Oryctolagus cuniculus: one gene and its partners. The protein of the gene in region 2 interacts with the protein of the main gene of each other region in a biochemical or structural test. Links are inferred from orthologs where the notes say so. Each region holds a gene or a part of one and is shown on either strand. Other genes may lie near its edges.

What was found.
Region 1: the proteins of SIAH2 (region 2) and RBBP8 form a complex in vitro, tested with the Homo sapiens proteins (2 studies listed by BioGRID). The link is inferred for Oryctolagus cuniculus from reciprocal best matches to the Homo sapiens genes SIAH2 and RBBP8.
Region 3: the proteins of SIAH2 (region 2) and ubiquitin-conjugating enzyme E2 D3 form a complex in vitro, tested with the Homo sapiens proteins (5 studies listed by BioGRID). The link is inferred for Oryctolagus cuniculus from reciprocal best matches to the Homo sapiens genes SIAH2 and UBE2D3.
Region 4: the proteins of SIAH2 (region 2) and EGLN3 form a complex in vitro, tested with the Homo sapiens proteins (2 studies listed by BioGRID). The link is inferred for Oryctolagus cuniculus from reciprocal best matches to the Homo sapiens genes SIAH2 and EGLN3.
Region 5: the proteins of SIAH2 (region 2) and DLST form a complex in vitro, tested with the Homo sapiens proteins (2 studies listed by BioGRID, with this or other methods). The link is inferred for Oryctolagus cuniculus from reciprocal best matches to the Homo sapiens genes SIAH2 and DLST.
Region 6: of the proteins of SIAH2 (region 2) and SNCA, one has a biochemical effect on the other in vitro, tested with the Homo sapiens proteins (4 studies listed by BioGRID). The link is inferred for Oryctolagus cuniculus from reciprocal best matches to the Homo sapiens genes SIAH2 and SNCA.

Annotation. Positions count from the first base shown.
Region 1 is NC_091441.1:54,669,278-54,672,165, reverse strand, and holds the end of RBBP8 (DNA endonuclease RBBP8), read left to right. Parts: intron 1-1,523; coding exon 1,524-1,675; 3' UTR 1,676-2,388; downstream 2,389-2,888. UniProt on the Homo sapiens protein: Endonuclease that cooperates with the MRE11-RAD50-NBN (MRN) complex in DNA-end resection, the first step of double-strand break (DSB) repair through the homologous recombination (HR) pathway.
Region 2 is NC_091435.1:130,614,544-130,618,507, reverse strand, and holds the start of SIAH2 (E3 ubiquitin-protein ligase SIAH2), read right to left. Parts: upstream 2,801-3,964; 5' UTR 2,230-2,800; coding exon 1,792-2,229; intron 1-1,791. UniProt on the Homo sapiens protein: E3 ubiquitin-protein ligase that mediates ubiquitination and subsequent proteasomal degradation of target proteins.
Region 3 is NC_091438.1:28,033,138-28,036,813, reverse strand, and holds ubiquitin-conjugating enzyme E2 D3, read left to right. Parts: upstream 1-1,273; 5' UTR 1,274-1,446; coding exon 1,447-1,890; 3' UTR 1,891-3,176; downstream 3,177-3,676. UniProt on the Homo sapiens protein: Accepts ubiquitin from the E1 complex and catalyzes its covalent attachment to other proteins. In vitro catalyzes 'Lys-11'-, as well as 'Lys-48'-linked polyubiquitination.
Region 4 is NC_091443.1:41,510,024-41,514,122, forward strand, and holds the start of EGLN3 (prolyl hydroxylase EGLN3), read left to right. Parts: upstream 1-1,299; 5' UTR 1,300-1,315; coding exon 1,316-1,522; exon of another isoform or gene 1,523-1,569; coding exon 1,570-2,049; intron 2,050-4,099. UniProt on the Homo sapiens protein: Prolyl hydroxylase that mediates hydroxylation of proline residues in target proteins, such as PKM, TELO2, ATF4 and HIF1A. Target proteins are preferentially recognized via a LXXLAP motif.
Region 5 is NC_091451.1:20,942,912-20,947,161, reverse strand, and holds the start of DLST (dihydrolipoyllysine-residue succinyltransferase component of 2-oxoglutarate dehydrogenase complex, mitochondrial), read right to left. Parts: upstream 2,801-4,250; 5' UTR 2,741-2,800; coding exon 2,678-2,740; intron 2,140-2,677; coding exon 2,106-2,139; intron 1,194-2,105; exon of another isoform or gene 1-1,193. UniProt on the Homo sapiens protein: Dihydrolipoamide succinyltransferase (E2) component of the 2-oxoglutarate dehydrogenase complex. The 2-oxoglutarate dehydrogenase complex catalyzes the overall conversion of 2-oxoglutarate to succinyl-CoA and CO(2).
Region 6 is NC_091439.1:75,753,502-75,757,625, reverse strand, and holds the start of SNCA (alpha-synuclein), read right to left. Parts: upstream 2,801-4,124; 5' UTR 2,073-2,800; exon of another isoform or gene 1,316-2,072; intron 1,282-1,315; exon of another isoform or gene 884-1,281; intron 594-883; 5' UTR 569-593; coding exon 448-568; intron 1-447. UniProt on the Homo sapiens protein: Neuronal protein that plays several roles in synaptic activity such as regulation of synaptic vesicle trafficking and subsequent neurotransmitter release.

The DNA of each region.
Region 1 (2,888 bases), on a different chromosome or scaffold from region 2:
TTCTTTTTCATCCTAATGTCAAAATGACATTATTATTTATTTCAATAGCAACAAGTTGCCAGTAAATTTTTATTGCTAAAAAGAGAGTATCTTTTTAAATCTATTATGTTAATTTTATATTTAAAACCTCACCCAGAATGCTGGATGTTCATAAGCTGTGTCTGAATAAAAAGGATGTTGGTTTGCCTGTTGACATTTAACTAGCTCACTCACATGCAGCACTTAGTAGTTAATATAATTTGAGAATATATACATCTTTAAAGGTGACAATAAAAGATCATAAATAGCAATTTTTGTTATTATCTTATTGTTACTACTTACTTTCAAGTGAGTGCTATGCTAAAATAATGTGGATACAGACTTTCCTGGTTTTATGTTAATTTTCTCCCAGATTTGGCCAAGAGTCCTCACATCATAGTAACTGTCTTTGGGACAGCATACTCCCACTTCTGTGCCAGGCTATTACCAGCCATCTGTACTATCCCAGTATTTAGGAAGTTCAATCATGCATAGTCATTGAGCCTGAACTTTATTGTAACCACTGGTTTAAATGAAATAAAATGCTCTAGGGTATATAGCCTTAAAAGAGTTACTCAGCTAAGCAGTGTCCAACTCAACAAGCCCTTTGTTGTGAAGATAGCATTCCAGCGGATTTTATCAGACCATCTAATAGTCTTTATCAAGGCACCTCTTTAATTCTAAAGATTTTACTCCCTACAGAACTATATTCTTAGGTGGGATGTTTGGTTTTTTTTTTTTGGAACATAGTCTAAAACTCAGATGTAATTAAAGGAATGTTGGTGTAGTGTTCAAAAGAGGATCTATTCAGATTTTTTGAAGAATTTTCAACTCAAAATTGTCCTAAGACATAATGGATAAATATTGACATCAAATGTGTGCATAAATAAATTTAACTGAACTTAATTAGTATTTTTTTTTGCTCTTTTTCCACATGGTCTAAAGACTACGCAGTTAAAGCTAAGTCTTACTTTGTAGTTTAAAGTACTGAGTTTTTTGGAAATATGATGTATCTTCTGAAATGTGACTGGAAAATACAGTACTATTCAGAATGTTTATAATTTGGTTTCTAGATTTATGAAAGATTTCACTGATTAGTAGACTTCAGGCCTCAGGCATGTATTTATAAGTTGTAAATAAATATATAAAACCTTTGCCCAGAAGAAGATAAAATAACATTGAATGCATATCAGATGATAAGATTACCACCTAAAATTGCCATTTTATAGCAACACTTCTTTTCTGATGGTTTGTTTGAGGAAAAGTAGAGACCCTTCCTCACTTTTTTCTTTGAAGAGGTGTTTTTTTTTTTTTTTTTTTTTTTTTTTTTTTTAATTAATTTGAAAGGCAGAGAGACAGAAATCTCCCATCTACTATTTGACTCCCCAAATGCCCACAACAGCCAGTGCTAGGCCTGGCGAAAACCAGGAGCCAAGAACTCCATTCTGCTCTCCCACATGAGTGGCAAGAACCCAAAGACTGGGCTATCATCCATTGTCTTCCAGGCACATTAGCAAGAAGCTGGATCAGAAGCACAGAGCAGCTGGGACTTGAACCGGGCACTTCCATAGGGAATGTAAGCATTCCAAGCAGCAGCTTAACCCACTGCACTGCAATGCCCACCACAACTTTTCTCATTTTGACAAGCTACAGATAGTCAACTGTAAGTTAGTTTTTCTGAAAGATGTGAAGTCTTTGATACTATTTACCATATTTCCACTTTACCCATTAACAAGCTGGATTAAGTCCCCTTTGACATAATGTCTCTCTGCTTTGTCATCCCACAGAACCAGGTAGTTTGGATAGAACTTCTGGTTATAGTCCTAATGGGGCCTTGGGGTATGGCAGAGTTCAGTCAACTCCTGGAAATTATGTGACTGAGGACACCTTGGAAAAAAGTCTTAATGGTCTGAAAAGTAAAGAGGCATGTCATCTAATGAAATAGCTACTGTAAAGTCTTTTTGATAAGCACCTGGAATTTGTCATAATAATAGAGTTCATGTTTAGCAGTTTTTCCCAATTGCAACCTAAGGGAGGCAGAAGAGGAAAGTGTATCCTTATAACTCTGGTTCTGCTACTAGATAGAGCTCTCTCACTCCTAGCTTTGTGAATTTGAGTGAGTTACTTACCTTGCCTGGGTCTCCATCACCTCGTCTGTGAAGTAGCTCTGTGGAAGCTACTTCAGAAGAATTTGAGTTACCTGAGATGATGTATATAAAGCATGTGGTAAATGTTTGCTGCTGTTATTGTTACTAAAGAAACTCATGCTGAGAGATCATACCTCAGCTAGCAACCAGGAGAATCACATCAACTTGGCTTCAAATAAAATGTTTACTAAAAAAGTGCTGAGAGAAATATGTGTTACAAATGCAGTCTTCTAAATTTGTAATTTGTTTTAAGGTTACATTAAGGAAGATCTTGATCCTTGTCCTCGTCCAAAAAGACGGCAGCCTTACAACGCAATGTTTTCTCCAAAAGGCAAGGAGCAGAAGACGTAGATGTTGATGCAAAAATAGAAGAATAGAGGATGGTTTTTCTTTTTAGTTATTTATAATTAAAGTTGGTATTAAACATTTGATTTTTTGAATCTCCTATAAATTGACTTATAAATCAGTTTTCTATTGAAAATGTTTTAAAATGCCATTTACTCACCATGTAACTATTTAAAATGTGGATATATTTGTGTTGTATTTTCTTGATTTTGTACCTTTAAAACAAGAAGGTGTTTTCATTTTGCACTCTTAAGAGTTGTTTATTTACTTTATTTGGTAATACCTAATTACAGTTTTGAAAATAAGATAGTTGTAGTCTGTGATTTGTTGGCTTTGGTTTCTTCTTTTTACTTCATCTTCCCTTAAAGGAGAAAGGCT
Region 2 (3,964 bases):
TCACTCAGTCTGGCCCCACCAAGGCAAAACCAGGTGGGACTCAAAAATTCAATAAAACTATAATAGTCTGATTTTTAGGCTGATAATTTTGTGTGGCCCGTGAATGATGTTATAAATATCCAACACTCTTGGCAGAGAAAAGATACCCCACCCCTGCAGAAAAGTGAAAGTATGAGACAGTGGCTCCCCAGAAATCCCATGGGGCATACTCCTACCCCCATAACACAGACACACACACACCTCAAACATAAGATACCCACTCTATGTCAACTATCACCCAATCTTCTTTAATCACTAGGCTGCCACACTCTTCACTCCCCTAAGAAAGCTATGAAAGTATTTTATTTAAATTTTATGAGAAATGAAGGGCTGAGGGAGGTAGTGTGCATTATATGAAGGACTGAAAGCAAAGTAACTTATTAAGCTTGCAAGAAACCCATCGTCCAAACCCTGATTCAAACCCTTATTTGAATATGCTATTTTAATCCTGATTTGTTGCAGGGCAGGAGACCAAATTAGATCACTCATTTTACTGATGTGAGTTCCAAGTCTGAATTCTCGGGTGGATTATTTTTAATTTAAAAGTGAGTTCTTGCCCTATAAAAAAAATAGTACCAAAGAGATATGCAAGGCAGCCTAAATGGCCAAAGAGGCAGAACAGTTAACTTTTAACAGCATTATTTCCACTTCTCAGTTTAGAAGACTAACTTTATGGTCTAGCTCTAGGTTCAATGATTATAGACAGGTAAGTGTGTGAAACTGCTCCTGGGGATTCTAAAGTAATGGCCGTAGACAAACAGATGTTATAATATGACCACACAATGCACTACTATGCAGCCATTTCAAGTGCATTAAGGTTGGGCTAGGCTCAGGCATTAAACAGCATGTGATAGCATCAATTAAGAACACCAGGTTGCAGAAGTCATTTTTGGAGCAAAATTTATGTGTGGGTATTAAAAACTCCTCGGCCACACACACAAGGAGGGCTCTATATTTAGCTGTGAGGATGCATAGAAGCATGGTTTAAAAAGTCTTCCCTCACCAAACCCAACGCTGATGGGAAAGGAAGGGAGGGGTCTTGGTCTTTCTGGACTTAACTTTTCTGGTCTGTGGTTTGGTAACTTAAAAAAAAGTAATAATAACATGCTGGGCTTCAAAGACTGTAACACAGCTCCTAGGAGCCCTTGTCAAGTTCCCAGTCGGCCTCGTTTTCACCCTGTTCAGTACAAAAACGCAGCCACAACTCCTCAGTCCCGGGGAAGGCCAGCAGAGGGGAAGGCGTGGCTTGCAGGGCTTTCTGGTTGCAGGAGGAAAACAGGCTCGGGCGCCCTTTTTTTAGCTACACTCCCGGGAGCTCCCACGTGTCAGGGGTGTGCAGACCGGGGGCGCGGGGCGCATGAGGAATCCTGTACGAGCGCTGCCAAGCCGAGTGCTGGTAAATGCTGCCTTCAGCTCGCCCATTTCCTCCCTCCCCGGTCCCCACGGTGAGCCACCCAGTTCAAGTTTTACTTGGGCGGCCCAGCCGTACCGAGCACACCCGAGCACATGTCGGCTGAGGACGCAGGCACAGGGCACGGAAGGCTAGGATGTGTTCCCACCAGCAGCGAGAGGGCCAATCCTTCTGGGTTCAGTGTCCGGGCAAATGTCAATCAACCCAGAGTGACTCCCGAAGTGGACAGGCCGGCTCGGGGGAAGAGTGGACGTAGGGTAGACACTGCCCCCCCCCAACCCCTTCAAACAAGAAAGATGCCCCCCACCTCTCAGGGCCTGCCGACAGGTCCCCGGGCTTACCTTGCAGGGAAACAGGACCGCCGAGGCCACCTTCTCCATAGCCAGGTTCCTGATGCTGGGCGTTAGGGCACCCCTGCACGTCGGGCAGCAGCTCAACTTCTGGCGGCATTGGTTACACACCAGGTGCCCGGCCTGGCACTGCAGGATGGGGGGCAGGACATAATCAAAGCAGACCGGGCACTCGAAGAGCGAGGTCAGCTCGTGGTGCTGCGGGGACACCGGGCCGGCCCCGCCGCCACCGCCACCGCCGCCGCCGCCGCCGCCGGGGCCCGAGATCACCGCCGCCGCGGCAGGCACCGCGGACGAGCCGGGGCCCGCAGCCGAGATGGTGGCGGCGGCCGGGGGCGCAGCCGGGGACGGAGCGTGCTGGGGCTGCGGCGGCGGCTGCTTGCTGCAGGGTTTGTTAGCGCTGGGGCCGGTGGAGGACGGGCGGCTCATCGCGTTCGGAGCCCACCATGGAACTGCGGGCGCCTGCCTGCCGCGGGGCCGCCCGGGTCAAGGCGGTGCGCGCCCCGCGGGCGGCAGGCTCCGGGGCAACGCCACGGCGCCCAGCCCCCGGACCGGGCAACGGCGACGGTCGGCTCTCGGCAGGCGGGCGGTGGGCGGGTGGGAGATGGGCTGGGCCGCGCCGACGCCCTCCGCGGCCCCGGGCGATCCGCACAGCCCTGTGCGTCCCACCCGGCGCGGTGCCTTCCTCCCTCCCGGCGGCTTTCGGGCCCCGACCCCGAGCGGCGCGCAGAACCCAGCCCAGCAGCTTCTGGAGCGGCCGCTGACGCAAGCCCCGGGGGCGCGCGCGGACGTGACGCCTGGACACGTGTGCGGCCGCCCAGGCGCGCGGGGACTGGCAGAGCCACCCTGCGCCCCGGCGCGGGCTCCGCCCGGTTCCAGCTGGCGGCGCAGGGGGCCGCCCAGTGCGGGCGCTTCCTGCTTGGGGCTGCAGGGAGCACGCCCCGCTCGCCCCGGCCGCCGCCGCCGCCGCGCGGGGTCGCGGTTCCCGGTCCGGGAAGGAGGGCCGACCTCCGGCGTCCCGTGGCCACACCCCGGGTAGCCCAGCCGTCCCGTTCCCCACCCTCAAACCACAGGGGCAACTTCGGGCGCGCGGGGGCGTGGCCGGTGGGCGGGCCGGCACGCGAGCTGGCGGGGCGGGGCGCGGGCGCCGGGGACATGTCGGAAAAACCCAGAGGTCCTCTTCCCTCGGTTGAGTCACCAGCGCGTGGGGGAGGCGTGCGACGCAGCCCGCCGGGCTGTCGCGCTTGGAACGCGGGGTCGGGACCAGGGGCTCGGAGGGGGTCTGCAGCCGGCACCGGACCTAGTGCTGGACTGTTAAGGCCGGGGTTGGGCTACTCGGTGGTCCTGTCTCGAGGGGTGGACAGGAAACCCCCCCCCCCCCTTATTCAGTGACCAGCTGACGGGGAGGATGCCTTGGTGACCCGAGCATCTTTAATTTGCATAGCAGTTCGGGGGTGGGGTAGCGTAGGCTAAAGCAGAGTTGGAGATCATCTAGGGTGCGTCGTGAGGCTCAGGAAGACTGTGGGCGCTGCGTGAGGACCGGCCTCGCCGCGGAAGCGATTCTGGAGGCGTGGCAGCCCGGCGTGAACCCCGTGTTCGTTGAATGGTTAAGATGTGCTTCGGGTTAAATTACTTTTGTGCACACTTGCTTGAGTCAAGGGAACGGGCTGCTTAGTTGGGAATTGGGTAGTCTTTGTGGGACAGAGGTTAGAACAACAGGTTGTCAACTGGGTGAAAAATGGTGCCTGTGTCCTTGATGTCTGTGGCTTTGGGCAAGTTCTTTTTTTGTTTGTTTCTTTTTTTTCTTTTATTTATTTGAAAGAGAGTTACAGAGAGGACTTCCATCCGCTGGTTCACTCCCCAAATGGCCGCAACGGCTGGAGTTGCGCTGATCCGAAGCCAGGAGCCAGGAGCTTCCTTCTGGGTCTCCCCACGCTGGTGCAGGGGCCCAAGGATTTGGGCCATCTTCTGCTTTCCCAGGCCATAGCAGAGAGCTGGATCGGAAGTGGAGCAGCTGGGACTCAAACCGGCGTCCATATGGGTTGCTGGTGCTTCAGGCCATGGCTTTAACCCATAGCACCACAGCGCCAGCCGCAAGGGCAAGTTCTTAAAAAACTTATCTGGGCCTCAATTTCCTCATCTGTAGAAGTGGAATAAAGGCAAT
Region 3 (3,676 bases), on a different chromosome or scaffold from region 2:
TCTTCTGCAATATGAAGATGATGGTAGTGTACATGCTGTATGACTGTTGTGAGGATTAAATCAAACACCCTATGTTAAATGCCACAGTGCCAAGCCCACAATATGGATTCAGTAAGTACCAGCTATTATTGTAATCCCTGTTAGAAGGGTGATGATACGTCATAGGACTTCAAAATATCTTACAGCAAGCTGGTTCTTTCTGGCTTATAATCAAGCAATTTCACCACCTATGCAGGAGATGATTTGTAGTTGGTGCATGTAAGAATTGAAATGAAAATAAATCTAAACAAAATGTGCTATTAGAGCTCATTCATCTGTCTTTTAGAATTTTCGTTGCTTCAGGGAAAACTAAATGGAAGAGGATGGCTAAGGAATCCTCCTTTGTTACTTGTATGAGTTAATGCATCTAACAGGAGGCTGGTTCTTAGTGCCAACATCTTGGTAATGCTTTGATAACCCCTCATGTGCTGAAAAAGTCAGGATGTTTGGTCCTGGTGGAGAGACTGGCAATGACTGAATCGAGCTCCTCAATATTGTTAATTTGGCAGCTAATATTGGCAAGTCTCTCAGTTTTATAGAACTAATTTTCTTCCACTGTAAATGGGCACTCATTATTTATGTCTGGTCAAGGATTCTGAGTGTTCTAAGATCTCTATATTTCAGGCCCTAATTCCTGAATAAGCTGAAAGACTGATTGGTGCATACAAAATGCCTTTGTCAAATCTTGTTTATCTCTGCGGGTCACATTAGATGTTGTGACTATTTCTCATGCTGGTATAGCTTGATCCAGTTTCTGGCTCATTACATTTGTTTCCTTACGCCAATAATTTTTCTCTCACAGCTGAAATGCTCTATTTGCTTCCACCTCACACCATTCTTGGCCAAATTTTCAGGGAATGAATAAGGTTGTGATATAGATCTCAAGTCTGCCACAGGCACCCAACTTCCAGGCAGGAAAGGAAAACAATGAATGTAGAAGAAAGAAATATGACTGCAGCAAGAGAAGGTAGAAACTGAATTTATCCATCTTCCTTTGCTTTCTCACAATGGAGCCCTTTGTGAAGTTAACTGCTGTTAAAAACAAATTGTCATGAAAAGAGACTCAGAAGGTAGGAAGACAAAGATCAATTAGAAAGCATACCGATTCAGTAGTATGATAAGCTAAATATTTGGAGAAATTTACTCAATATAAAATTCCTATCAAACTAAAACTCCACAGCATTTTTAACCAATATTCAAGAGTGAAGATGAAATTAAGATATTTTCGAGCCGTCCACGTCGTTCTCGCGATACCCGCCGCCTCCATACCAAGCGCCTGTGTCTGGCAGAGCCGGCGTGAGACCAAGAGACAATCCTTCCCCGCCGCCCGGATAATCAAGAGTTTTGGCCGGACCTCTGAGCATACACCGAGAGAGGGAGAGAGGAGCCAGACTAAAAGCACAGACTATGGCGCTGAAACGGATTAATAAGGAACTTAGTGATTTGGCCCGTGACCCTCCAGCACAATGTTCTGCAGGTCCAGTTGGGGATGATATGTTTCACTGGCAAGCCACAATTATGGGACCTAATGACAGCCCATATCAAGGCGGTGTATTCTTTTTGACAATTCATTTTCCTACAGACTACCCCTTCAAACCACCTAAGGTTGCATTTACAACAAGAATTTATCATCCAAATATTAACAGTAATGGCAGCATTTGTCTCGATATTCTAAGATCACAGTGGTCTCCTGCTTTAACTATTTCTAAAGTTCTTTTATCCATTTGTTCACTGCTATGTGATCCAAACCCAGATGACCCCCTAGTGCCAGAGATTGCACGGATCTATAAAACAGACAGAGATAAGTACAACAGAATATCTCGGGAATGGACTCAGAAGTATGCCATGTGATGCTACCTTAAAGTCAGAATAACCTGCATTATAGCTGGAATAAACTTTAAATTACTGTTCCTTTTTTGATTTTCTTATCCGGCTGCTCCCCTATCAGACCTCATCTTTTTTAATTTTATTTTTTGTTTACCTCCCTCCATTCATTCACATGCTCATCTGAGAAGACTTAAGTTCTTCCAGCTTTGGACAATAACTGCTTTTAGAAACTGTAAAGTAGTTACAAGAGAACAGTTGCCCAAGATTCAGAATTTTTTAAAAAAATGGAGCATGTGTATTATGTGGCCAATGTCTTCACTCTAACTTGGTTATGAGACTAAAACCATTCCTCACTGCTCTAACATGCTGAAGAAATCATCTGAGAGGGAGGGAGATGGATGCTCAGTTGTCACATCAAAGGAAGCAGCATTATTCTAGCAGCATCCATTCTTGTTTAAGCCTTCCACTGTTAGAGATTTGAGGTTACATGATATACTTTATGCTCATAACTGATGTGGCTGGAGAATTGGTATTGAATTTATAGCATCAGCAGAACAGAAAATGTGATGTATTTTATGCATGTCAATAAAGGAATGACCTGTTCTTGTTCTACAGAGAATGGAAATTGAAAGTCAAACACCCTTTGTATTCCAAAATAGGGTCTCAAACATTTTGTAATTTTCATTTAAATTGTTAGGAGGCTTGGAGCTATTAGTTAATCTATCTTCCAATACACTGTTTAATATAGCACTGAATAAATGATGCAAGTTGTCAATGGATGAGTGATCAACTAATAGCTCTGCTAGTAATTGATTTATTTTTCTTCAATAAAGTTGCATAAACCAATGAGTTAGCTGCCTGGATTAATCAGTATAGGAAACAATCTTTTGTAAATGCAAAGCTGTTTTTTGTATATACTGTTGGGATTTGCTTCATTGTTTGACATCAAATGATGATGTAAAGTTCAAAAGAATGAATATTTTGCCATGTTCAGTTAGAGTGCACAGTCTGTTACAGGTTGACACATTGCTTGACCTGATTTATGCAGAATTAATAAGCTATTCAGATAGTGTAGCTTTAATATGCTGCACCGTGATACTGGCAGCCCTGGAGTTCATAGATGGACTTGGGACCCAGCAGTTTTGAAGCGTGTATATGGAGTTTTAAGAAATTTATTTTCCAGGTGTAGCCCCATCTAACTAAAACTTATCTTCACCTTGTACACTTGACAGCTGATAAAAACATAACTTGGGAGTAATAATGGGTCAAAATTTACAAAATAAAGTACTGTTTTGGTGTGGGAGTTGTCATGAGGCTGTGTTGAAGTGACTTAACTATGTGGGATATTGAGTATCCATTGAAATGGATTTGTTCAGCCATTTACATTAATGAGCATTTAAAACAGATCATTTCAGGTGACTTAACATGAATGAATAAAATGCTATTGAAAAAAAAAAAAAGAAATTAAGATATTTTCAGACAAAGAGAAAATTTACCAACCACAGATACTCACTGGAAGAATAACTGAAAAAAATCTACTTCAGGTAGAAGATTAAAAGTATTATTAAACTCAATGGTTAAGTCCCCACTTCAGACACCTGTGTTCATATCAGAGTGTCTGGTTTGGAGTTACAGCTCCACTTTCAATTCCAGAAACCTGTTAATGCACACCTTAGGAAGCACTGGTGATGGCTCAAGGAGTTGGTCCCAGACTGAGTTCAAGGCTCTTGACTTTGGCCTCACCCAACGCTGAATGCTGTGGGCATCTGGAACGTGAACCAGCAGATAGAATATCTCTCCTGGTCTGACT
Region 4 (4,099 bases), on a different chromosome or scaffold from region 2:
GGATGATGGGCGCCTGCCCTGGAATTTTAGGTGACAGCTCCTTGAGCACTGACCCATTTAAGCTTCCGAGGAGTGGCGCCTCCTGCTGACCATTCATACCAGGAGTGTCAGCTACTCAGCGACTTGGCAGAGGACTTCCTTTCAGTGTGAGAAGTTTCACCAAAGTTTCTTAAACCCTGTACGCTGACAGCTCCTCCCAGAACACCCCTAAGCCTCTCCCTGTGCCCTCACTGCGTTTCTTCCCGCAGAGGCCAGGACGAAGGAGAAAAAGTGACAGAATTGCAGGACACTGTGCACACAATCACGATACCCGAAAAGCCAGTTCCTTCTGTTGTGCAGTGAAGAAGCCAAGCTCACACTAAGGTGAAACCAAAAATATGGACATGGCTTTCCATGCAATATATGTGTCTCCCCTTCACACACACACACACACACACACACACCCATTCTGATTTCTAGTGCTCAGTAGGACAGGGTCAAAAAACCCACAATGCAGTTAGCTAATCTGTGGGCCACTACGACAACTTACGGTTGTGTCTGTCCCTCTCTCCCTGGCGTGGGGATACAACTGCATGTGGAGAAAGAAGAGGGACTTGGGGGACAGGGCGAGGAATATGCCCATATATTACATAGCTGTGTCACTGATTTTGCAGGTAGAATTTCAGAACATCGTGTTTTACTAAAACCGTGGAAGGTAAGTGGATGGAGACACCCAGCAAAGCAGAATGCAGTATTTGCTGTGCCTGATCGGCTATGGCTCGGCGATTCTTCATTGGCCACATCCCTCTAAGTTGAGCACAGAGTAGGAGCTAAGGGACCATGCTACTGTGTTCATGCTAGCTACAACTGCGCTCCTCCCGCCCGGCGGCTTGAGCCCGCTGGCTCGTGTCAGAGCCAAGGAGAAGGAAGAAGGAAAGGCACTTGGGAGGGCAAGAACGAGACCACCGTAGAACCTATGAGCCTTTGTTGCTGCGTTTGTTATTTTGCTCAAAAGCCTGTGCGGTGGCCAGCACGGACCGTGGCAATACCCCGCGCTCCTAATTTCATTCACTCGTAAGAGTGCGGATCCAGGTTTTCACTTTTGTTTTAGGATTTCATGCAAAACACTATGCAAATAGAGAGCATTGGAAAATTTCCAGCTCACAAACAAGTGAGACTGGCGACCGGCTCTTCGGGATCCCTGGCGGCGGGGCAGCCCCGGCGGGGCAATGGGCGGGGTCGGGGAGGGCGGAGCGGGGGCGGTCCCTGGGCGGGGACTAGGCGGGGCCGGGGTGGGCCCGGGGCGGGGCCCGTGACGCGTCGAGTCCGCCGGTTCATGGGCCGGACCTCAGCCGCTCCCAGCCACAGGCCGCTGCCGCCGCCTCCGCCGCCGCAGTGGTGGCTCCGCATCCTCAAAAGGGGCCCTCGGACTCCTCTCTGGGCCAGTCCAGCACTGGTTCGCGGAGCCCCGCACAACTCGGGCTGGCCCCTGAACGGCGAGCCCTTCCTGCCCGAGTTGCGGACAACTTTCCCTTGCCCTTGGGTGCCGCGGTGGCGCGGTGGCTCGGTGGCGCGGTGGCTCCCGGACAGTGCCCGCCGCAGGTTCCTGAACCCAGCGCTCCGCTCGCTGCGCCTCCGCTGGGCGCTGCGGCGGGTCGCTCCCCGCTCCCCGTGCGCACGTGGGGTGTCCCTGCCCTGCGTCCTGCGGGCGAGATGCCCCTGTCACACATCATGAGCCAGGATCTGGAGAAAATTGCCGTGGATTACATCGTGCCTTGCCTGCACGAGGTGGGCTTCTGCTACCTGGACAACTTCCTGGGCGAGGTGGTGGGCAACTGCGTGCTGGAGCGCGTGAAGCAGCTGCACCGTGAAGGGGCCCTGCGGGACGGCCAGCTGGCCGGGCCGCGTTCCGGCGTCTCCAAGCGGCACCTGCGCGGCGACCAGATCACGTGGATCGGGGGCAACGAGAAGGGCTGCGAGGCCATCAGCTTCCTCCTGTCCCTCATCGACAGGCTGGTCCTGTACTGCGGAAGCCGCCTGGGCAAATACTACGTCAAGGAGAGGTCCAAGGTAGGAGGCGCGCGGGCGCGGGGGGCAGCCGGAGTGAGCTGTCCGTCGCCTTCGCCGGGCTGCGCGCGAACTTCGGGGTTCATCCCAGAAGTCAGCCGGGTTCCTTTCTGGCCCCTCCACCCGGCCTTGACTCCCAACCCCGTCCAGCTCCTCTGTGCGAAAGTCCGCGTTAAGAGGCTGTTAATAGTGGCTGCTCTTGGTGATACAAGCCCGAGCAGCTGGGGCTTTGGGTCCGATTTTAAGGCACAGAGGTGCTCCGAAATCCAGACAGGAAAGGATGTTGGGAACGTTGTGTTTGACCTGAGACACACCTGGACACACCCACGATTGCCCTTCGTTGTAGGCTGATGGGATTCTTAGAGAAACAAAACAGCTGTGTTTTGCAGTGTGGCGGTTGCTTTGCGGAGCGTGGCAGGTGTGGGAAGGTGGGACGAAAGACTAGGACAAGTGTACGGTCTAAACTCTTCGCTTCGCAGGGCTGCCCTTGACTTCTTGGACAGGCGTACTGTCGGACGGACCATCTGCTTGTCTGGAAATTCTCTCCTTGTGCTAACCGCAAGCCACCACCTTCCTTTCCCCGACTATGGTTTGATGGCAAAATCCTCTTAACACAAACAGTTCAGTGCTCCTGAGAGAGGGGTCAAGTGCCTCCGGAAAGAAAGCATGTTTTTGTTCACAGAGCCGGAAGTGACTCCCTGGTTGGTAATTTATCTTGGAAACAGGTATAGGTAGATGGGCAGAAATATGGGAACCCTCACCATGATGTTGGTGCAAGCGTGTTCCTTTGGGATAGAATTGTTGCTCCGTCTCCTTCAGTTGCCAGTCCAGCCAGTTTTCCACTGGCAGTTCTGAGTGATTTGCACTTGTAGAGTGGTCTGGAAAGAGACACGCGAAATTGTGGAACACGTTTCCTGAAAACAAGTGAGGCGGAGTAGACTAGCACCGGAGGGGGAGGGAAGAGGAACATTCACCCAGGTACCACCATTCTTTGGACAACACACATAGTGTTTCTCAATCTGAGATAGGTCCAGTGATAAAAGGAAGCAGTGTTGTCTCATCTGGCCCACAGAGAGGAGCACTCTTAGTAACAGGGCAGTTTGCCAGGACGGCACGGGCGTGGGAAGCCAAGGGTCGAGGGGTGTGCATGGAGCAGGGAGCCAGACTGCTGTGTACCTTTCAATCCAGGAGCAACGGAATAGCATCTTCGAAGAAAATGCTGCTTTCTAAATTTTACTTTGATTTGGGAAAAATCCACCACAAATCGCACTGTGGAGAGGCCGACGTCAGAGTGTTTCTTTACTCCGCTCCTATCGTCTTGGTGGTGGATTAGAAAGTCATTTTTCTTTAGGTTAGGCTTGTTTTTATACCAAGTGACCTTCCTGGTCTCCTGGGGTGGGGCAGGGGGCTTAGCCTCAGTTGTTGCTAGGCCCTCCTAGCTTCAACCCAAGAGCAGATGGCTTTTTAACAGTTTTTTCTTTTTCCTTTTTTAAAGGTTTTGTTTAAACTCAGGTGTTAGAAATTTCTCCTCTGGAATTCTAGGAACAGAATTTGCTCTGGGGGAGGTCAGAATTAATTGGTAAAATCAGGTCACTTGCGTATTTGAAGGTTAAAGGGTTTTATTTAGCTTCAAGTTAGTGCATAGGGTGAGGGTTCCAAACTAGAATGAACTCACATGGAATGAAAAGCACAGTGTAAGTTAGGGAAAGGAAAAATGACTGCGAGATAGGAGTATTCGGCTATGGGTTATCTTCTGGGTGGAAAACAACTCCACTTACCCCTGTCCGAAGGTGACCGGTCTTGTCTGCTGAAGGTGCACTGCGCGTACCTAGATTTCCAGATTCGCTGGGGCGGTTTGGGCGCAAAGGCCTTCATCCCTGCCCTGGAGAAAAATCACCTGTGGATTAGGGTATTCCCTGGCCAATTAGAACCAAATGCAAACCAGATTTGAGAAAATAGTAAAGAAAAAAAAATTTCTGTCCTTGTATGAAGAAGTCTTAGTGATGTCTTGTGGCCACGAGTTTCTTGCTGGAAGCTGGTTCCTGTAGCATGG
Region 5 (4,250 bases), on a different chromosome or scaffold from region 2:
AGGGCTTCCGGGGATTGACTGACTACCCCGGGTGAATGCCCAGCCAAGATGCAACCCCACGTGCAAGGGTCCCCCCCTTGTCCTGCCAGTCTATAAAGAGGAGAATGTTTACTGACATTTCTCGGGATTCCTAGTAGAGAAAGTTCATCACTGAGCGCCTGCTAGGAACTGACACAGTGCTGGTGTCTCACATTCTCAGGACTCAGGATAAAGTCCAAACACTTTGCACAGTCCTGTACCATCCAGTCCTACCTAACTTTGCAGCCAGGTAGGCTTCTTTCCATTCCCCTAATAGGGCAATTCCCAGCCTGCCTAAAAACCTCGACAGAGCAATTCCCTTTGCCTGAAATATCATTTACCTGGCTAATTTCTACGTATTCAAGTCTCAGCTTCAATGTCACTTCTTCAGGGAAGCCTTTATCAGCATTCCCTACTCTCCCAAGCTGGACTGCATCATCCCCTGTCTCATCAAGCTGGACTTCTGAGTACCCACAATGCAATCATGTCCTTACGTGTGCACAAACATCTGCTCACGCTCTCTCCAGCCAGCCTAAGATCTTCGAATGTGGAGACCATCTGCTGTTTCCTTGTCACCAGGCACAGGGGCTGGCACTGTAGTAGCACTCAAACCATTTATTGAGTACATGAGTAAATGAGAACATAATGGATTAAGAGTTCAGGCTAGGAGTCAGTACTGTAGTACAGTGGGTTAAGTCATGGCCTGCAGTGCCAGCAGGCGCCCATATGAGTGCCAGTTTGAGCCCAGCTGCTCCACTTCCAATCCAGTTCCCTGCTAATGTGCCTGGGAAAGCAGCAGAGGACAGCCCAAGTGCTTGGGTGCTGCACCCACGTGGGAGACCTGGAAGAAGCTCCAGACTCCTGGCTTCAGATCAGCCCAGCTCTGGTCATCACGGCCACTTGGAGAGTGAACCAGTGGATGGACACCCTTTCTCTCTGTCTCTCCCTCTGTCTATAACTCTAGCTCTCTAATAAATAAAATCTTAAAAAAAAAAAAAAAAAAGTTTAGGCTGAGGAGTCAGTGTTAAGCAGCTGCCTGCAGCACTGGCATCCCATAAGGGCACGAGTTCAAGTCCCAGGTGTTCCACTTCAGATCCACCTCCCTGCTAATGCACCTGGGAAAGCAGTGGAAGATGGCCCAGGTGCTTGGGTCCCTGCACCCACGTGGGAGACCCAGGTGAAGTTCCTGGCTCTGGCCTGGCGCAGCTGTGGCTATTGGAGAGTGAACCAGCAGATGGAAGATCTCTTTCTATCTCTCCCTCTCTAACTCTGCCTTCCAAATAAATAAATCTTTAAAAAAAAAAAAAAGTAAGAGTTCAAGCTGGGGAGTCAGGTAGGCCTGGCTTGACCAGTAGTTGGCTGAGTGACCTTGGCCAAAGCACTTACCCTTTCTTGCCTTGGGTTATGCATTTATAGAGATAATACTTCTCATTCAGGTTTGTGATGATGAACTAAAATACGCACAGATCGCAGTGAGAATATCTGGTACAATGAAAGCCTACAATAAAACTAACTCATCCAACAAATATACAAGGCACCTAATTTTAAAGATAAGTTATATAAGATAAACTACTAATAATCTCCCCCAAAAAATAAGAAAAAAAGGGATAAAAAACTAAACTCCTTCCAACAATGCAGACTCCGTCTGCTATCTCACGGCACTCTCCCCCTTAACCAAAATGCCTGGCCGAACCCCCTTCTCCTCCAGCTCCCAAGCACTGCCAGCCTCCTTCCTTACCCGGGGACTGGACAAGCTACTCCCTCTCTGCCTCCTGCTCTCCCCGGCTACATCCTCCAGGATGCAGACTCGATGTCACCTACTCGGAGCAGGCGCCCCTGTCCTCCCCACCCCAACCCCGCGAACCAAAATTCGCGCCTGCTCATCTGATGGGTAGTGCGTGCACATCTGGCCTTTCCCACTGGCCTGCGGGCTGCTGGGTCCTGGGCGAGGGGCTGGCAGGGGCCTGGCGCACAGCAAACACTCCGTGACGCTGCGGGTACAGGCGGCAACTGGGCTGCCTGTGGCCGTACACGCCGCTCTGCCCCGGGAGGAGAGCGGGTCAGGCGACGGCCGGCGCAGAACTTACCAGGCAGGGAGCGTCTCCCTAGAGGGCAGTTCCCCTGTTGAGAAAGAAGACATCATCGACGTCACCCGAGGTGAAACGAGGGGAGAAACCGCTCCTCCTGCGAAGCGCGCACGCAAAGCTGCCCCGGCGCTGGGGACGGGCAATCTCCCAACTCCACGGACAGCCGCGACGGGCGCGGACCCCGCCGGCACACCGCGTCCGCCCGACCGTCCCAACTTCCCCACGGGACTGACTGACACCCCCGGGCTTCAACAGAAGGGACGGGACGGGCCCCCGAGTGTCCAGCAGAGGCCGTCCGATGTCGGGACGGGAGCGGCTCCCCAGCCCCGGCGCGCGGGGCGGGGGGCAGCAGGTGACGGTCGGTGCGGGTGCCTCGGGAAGGCCTGCCCCGCAGGCCTCGAAACACAGCCCCGAGGGCGAGGCGGTCCCGGGCCGGCCAGCCCGCGGCCTCTGCGTCCCAGTGCCCTTGGTGCCGGGCCTGGCAGGCGCGCTGCGCCCCCGCCTTCCCGGCCGCCCGTCTGTCCATCAGCAGGTTGCTCACCCGCCGAGGCTCCGGCCCGGCCGGACCATACCTTCTGGAGGGCGGAGAGCGAGCGGCTGAACGCCCGGGACACGCAGCGGGACCGGGACAGCATCGCGACAGCAGCGCTGAGGGCGGGCGGACACCGGATATAGGGCCCGGCAACAACCGGAAGTGGGGCGGGCCGCAGCACCCGCCACGCTGCGAGGGGTGTTCGGAGCGAACCATTGGCGAGGGTGGTGGGGGCGGCTGGGCGGCGCGGGGTCCGGCGTTCCAGAGCAGGCTGTGGTGGCCACTGAGCTGCCTGCTTGCCTGCCCGAGACAGCCCTCTCGAGGGTGCCTACGACTGTCGGCGACCGCAGGGCCCCCGGGGTCGAGCGTTCCCTGGCCATTCCCCGGAGCTGGCTCGGAATTTGGCCCTCTTCTGTCTGAGACCCCGGGGTACCTAGCCATTCTGCCCCCTGCCCCACGAAGAGAGAGCAAAAAGCAGGCACGGGCTTTGAACTCGGATCCTGGCATACGTGGCTGCCTGATCTTACACCTGTGTGGCCTTGGGCAGGTGTCACTGCCTCTCAGAGCATCAGGCTTCTCCCTCTCTCTCCCTCACACACACACACACACCCTCAAGCTCTCCTTCCAAACTGTTTCCTGTACATGCCGCACATTTTTGGAAATTGGCCCCGCCCTGAGAACGTGAACTCCTATCACCTGGAGTTTAAACTCGGTCTTGTTCGCTGCTGCACCCCAGCACAGCTCAGGTGCGCAGAGTTTGTGGGCGGAATCCGGGCCTCCCTGCCGTCAGCACACTGCTCTGCTGCTCCCTAAGTGAAACCACGTGGCCGCCCCTTAGGTCCCCAGGCCCCTGAATGTTATGGATCATCACCTGCCTGATAGAGACGGCGGTTTATAAACCTGCGGCTGAACTGGTAATTGATGAAGTGTGACCGAGTGGTCTGTGCCTGTGCCTTCTGGTGTCTTCACCTGAAGCAGCTTACCTGGTCAGGACTCTCCAGGTGCTGAAAGTACCACTGGGGGTGGGGGGCGGAGAATGCAACCAGAAATCGGGAGAAGAAAGGGCAGGCATCGGCCGCGGTGCTCACGTCCTGCCTTGCATGCCCACGTCTCGTGTCAGAGTGCCTGGTTCAAATTCTGCTTCCTCTCTCAAGGACCCCCCCGGGAGGCAGCGGGCGATGATTCAAGCTCAGATTTTAAGACACAGGGAAAGCCGGCGCCGAGGCTCACTAGGCTAATCCTCCACCTTGCGGCACCGGCACACCAGGTTCTAGTCCCGGTCGGGGCGCCGGATTCTGTCCCGGTTGCCCCTCTTCCAGGCCAGCTCTCTGCTGTGGCCCGGGAGTGCAGTGGAGGATGGCCCAAGTGCTTGGGCCCTGCACCCCATGGGAGACCAGGAAAAGCACCTGGCTCCTGCCATCGGATCAGCGCGGTGCGCCGGCCGCAGCGCGCCTGCCGCGGCGGCCATTGGAGGGTGAACCAACAGCAAAGGAAGACCTTTCTCTCTGTCTTGTCTCTCTCTCTCACTGTCCACCCTGCAGGGAAAAATCCGTGCCCCGCTGCCGCTGTGACCAATCCTCGGTCTCCCTCACCTGGATTATTTCCGAAGCTCC
Region 6 (4,124 bases), on a different chromosome or scaffold from region 2:
AAAGTCTTATTTTATAATTGCCAGACATTAAAATTAGTAAATATTATTCATCATGATAAAAGAGATCAATAGTCGATGAATTATTTTGATCATTAGAAATGTTTTAATTTTTTAAAAAAGGACTAAGTTTTCCAAACAGCCCTCTGAATACAGCCACTCATTCATTGGGGAAAAAAAGGATAAAAAAGTTCTAAGTGTTCTAAGTGTTACTGCAACATTTAAAAATCTGGGGAAACAAAAGATTAGCCACATTTTCTCACGATTAGCTCAAACATACACCTTCACATTCACCTACCTACCCAGTCCTCCGACTCAATCCATCCTTTTGACAAGTGATGATGCAAGAACGAATCACGTGAGAAATGTCAGCATTCTTGTATCCATCATTGTAACTAATCAATCAGGGACCAGTATCAGAATGACATGGGAGGTGGGGGGGCTACCTACCTACATAGAGAACACCCTCTTTTGTCTTCCCTGCAGCCTCTGCCACACCCTGTTTGGTTTTCTCAGCGGCAGCCACAACTCCCTCCTTGGCCTTTGAAAGCCCTTTCATGAACACATCCATGGCTAATGAATTCCTTTACACCACACTGGAAAACACAAAATACATGCTGAGTGAGAACTTTTTGGTAAAAGCAAGCAAAATTCAAACCATCCAAGCTAAAAACAAAACAGAAAACGAAAACACTAAAAATCTGTAGAAATCCCCAAAAGCGTGAAAACTCTTTGACGTGACCCCTCATTTCAACCACCTGGACAAAGCAGTCCGCCCCTCACTCCCACCCCAGCCCACTCCCCTTAAGCTTTAGCTTTAGGAATTTCTCCTCCCCCATCCATCTTGACTCATGCTGACCAGGGAGAGCATCTGAGCTGTTCTTACTGCATCTCAGAAGTGGAGTGGCAGGAACAGATGCGCCCTTCTTCCAACTTCCCAGGGTCCAAAGGGTGACCCTCTAAGTCAGCAGGAGGTTTAGAGGAAAGACCTCAGGAAAAGGACGGGAGCTGGGGGCCATGGCCAGGCGCATCCTTAAAATGAATCCCAGAAGAGGGGTAACAGGTTGATCCCAGGGGAGGGAAGAGCACTACTCACTCTGCATGTGGTTAAACCGCAAGACAACAAGGAAGGAGCCAGGGGACGCTCCTCTGAATCCACGGTGCCCTCCACCTCCGCCCTCTGCTATCTATCCGGAGCAGGCGCTGGTCTTCACCCGCTGGCAGCGTCCACACCCCTGCCAGCCACACTAAAGGGCGTTCTCAGCCGCACCGCACCCCCAAGCACACCTAGCGCCTGCACCTGTTAACCCCTTCCTACCTGTTGCCTTGTCCCCTCTGCACTTTATTTAGAAATTGGCCAAAGCTGTTTCCTCTCTTCTCGGGAAACAGCGAAAAAGCGGCCTACGGGGTGGCGGTTACCGTAAGAGAAGAAAAGTTGGATGCTCTTGCTCCACCCAGCACCCGGCGCTTCCGCGGGGAAAACGCACCCCGGAGAAGCCGCTGATTTCGCAGCCTTTGGGGAGGCCGGGGAGAGCTGGGTCAACATCCACTCCTGACGTGCACGCGAGGGACCTGCACGCCCCACCAAGAGCCTGGACACCGCGGTCCTGGGGTGCACCCTACCACCACCCCGCGTCCGCGGCGGCTCCTCTGCCTTCCCGGGTTTCTCCACGATTTCCAAAGCTGCCCGTTCAGAGCCACAGGTACTCACCCGAGAACTCTGCTTCTCCGGGACTCCGAGTCCTCCCCTCCCCCCCTTTCCCTTTAATTTAAACAAGTGCCAAATATTATTTAAACGGGCCAAGGGAGGGGACGGGAGCGCACAGGAAGGGCGGAGGCGGCGCCAAGAGACGGATGATCCCCAGAGGAGGCTGCCGTCAGCGCAAGCCAGCGACGGGAGGCGGGGGACGTGGGAGGCACACGCGCGAACCTCGCGTCCAATTGCCACTCCCCGTCCCCCGCACGGAGGATGGGGGAGGAAGAAAGCGAGGGTCGCGAGGGAAGGCGGGCGGAGGGCTGGAGGTAGGCGCAGGGCGGGGCTGCGTCCCGGGGCTGCCCAGAGGCCAAGCACACACCTCGCTGCGCGTCAGCACACACTCCCGCTCCGCCGTCGTCCCGCTCGCGGGCCCCTGGTCGCGGCCGTCCTCCTCCTCGCCGTCCTCCTCCACCTCCTCCTCCGGCGCCCGGATCTCCTCGACTCACCGCCCCCACGGCTGATTTGTCAGCGCCTCTCCCCGCCCCTCTCCCGCGCTCGCTGCGCTCCCGGCGCGTGCTCTCGGCTCTCGTGCTCCGTGGGGAGGGGGTGCGGGGCAGGTGGCCCCGGCCACTGCAGCCGGCCGCCTCGGCCTGGGAGGCGTAAAGGCGCGGGGCCCGGTGCTTCACCGCAGGCTCAGAGGCACCGGGAACGTGCGGACCTCCGGAGCGCTTTGGCTCGGGCTGAGGTCTCTTCTTTCCACCCGCTCCCTCGCTGTCTCCTTTCCTCTGGTTTCTCGGGGACCTCGCTCCCAGCAGAGCCTAACCCTGGGGCTTGGGGACCGAGGAATGGGCGTCGCAGCCGAGCCTGGCTCCGGGAGCGGACGGAGGAGACACGGGGCGCGGCGGGGGCGCCTGCACCTGCCCCGCGTCAGCCCGCTTCCTGACACTTAGCACACGGCCGAGGGGCGCCTCGTGCAGGGTCGCTTTTGTTCGAACATCCTCGAGGTTTTCTGTTCTCGCTTAACCCCGGGTGAGCCCGAAAGGGTCCCGCGGGCAGGCTGGGGACCACCGAGCAACAGATACAGGTTCGGGAGGCACGAGGGGACTCGTCAAATCGTCTCCCTACCAGGCTCTCACCATTTTCTTTTCCACCAATCAGCGGCTGCCAGAAGCTGATTTTTTTTTTTTCCCCATCTGTGAAGCAGGCAATAAATATTCCCCAGCCGTCGAAAGCGAGCGGCCCCAAGGCTTTTCGCTCTGGAAACGCGGCTTCGTTTCCAGACCCCAGGACAAGGTCTAGGAGGCAAATCCAACGTGGTGCACGTTGCCCTCCGAGCTGACACCCCCTCCCCTTACACGGCACACGCGAGAGAGCCCCCGCCGATTTCTGCGTCGTTTAACGCATTTTCACCCTTGTCAGTGCTGGGTGGAAAACAGCTGTTCCTAGATCACACCAGAAGGGAGAACCAGGCTCCCCCCCTCCAGCAGAAGGCCTTGCTTTCCTGGCCCGGTTCTTGGAGATGGGCTTAGCACGGAGGGGAGAACAAGGCTCTGCTGCCTCGTTTGTTCCTTGGTCTGTTTCTGTTTTTCTGCCGCTTGCACGCATCTGGGTTCTGAAATTTGAGTCAGATGTGCTTTCCACCTATAAAGCACAACTTGAAACCACAAGGGATGGAAGCTAACGACTACATAGAAAGGATAGAGATAGCTAAATATATAGATTGTTAGATAAAAGATGGATAGATGACAGGTGACAACCAATACATAAGAAGGGGAGGGGATGGTGGTAGAAAGAAATGATACAGATAGATTCCGAAGAAAAAAAAAATGTGAAAATTAGATCACAAGTATTTATCACTTAATAGATCCTCACACTCCTTGCCTCCCTTTTGAAAAACAGCCTTTGGACGATACAGCCGCTCATATTTTGTTTTCCTGGGATCAGAGGAAGAAAGCAGACACGGGAGCTAGTTTGCCATCTGATTTTAAGGCCGTGAGCAAGTTATGTCCTCCTGTTTACAGCTTTTCCTCCTGTAAATGAGGAGGTGAACTAGATGATCCCTCTCTTTTCAGTTTTTTATTATGGAAAATTTTCAGACATGTACAGAAGTAGAATCAAAGACTCTCACATGAGTATCACCCAACTTTCACAATGTTTCAATGCCTGCCTAATCATATCTAACTATAAACACTCCACTTTATCGCTACCAATCTTCATTTTTAAGTAAATTCCAAGTTTTATATGCATATTTTATCTGTAAACATTTCAACATGGATTCACAAAATGTAAATTATGAAACAATAATCACCATAGCACTTGAGAATTTTTATTCTTGGTTATAATTTACATAGAGTAAATGCTCAGCTCTTAAGTGTCGCTATGTGTCCATTTTGAAAAATCTGCACTATTTGGAAAACCCAGAACATTTTCA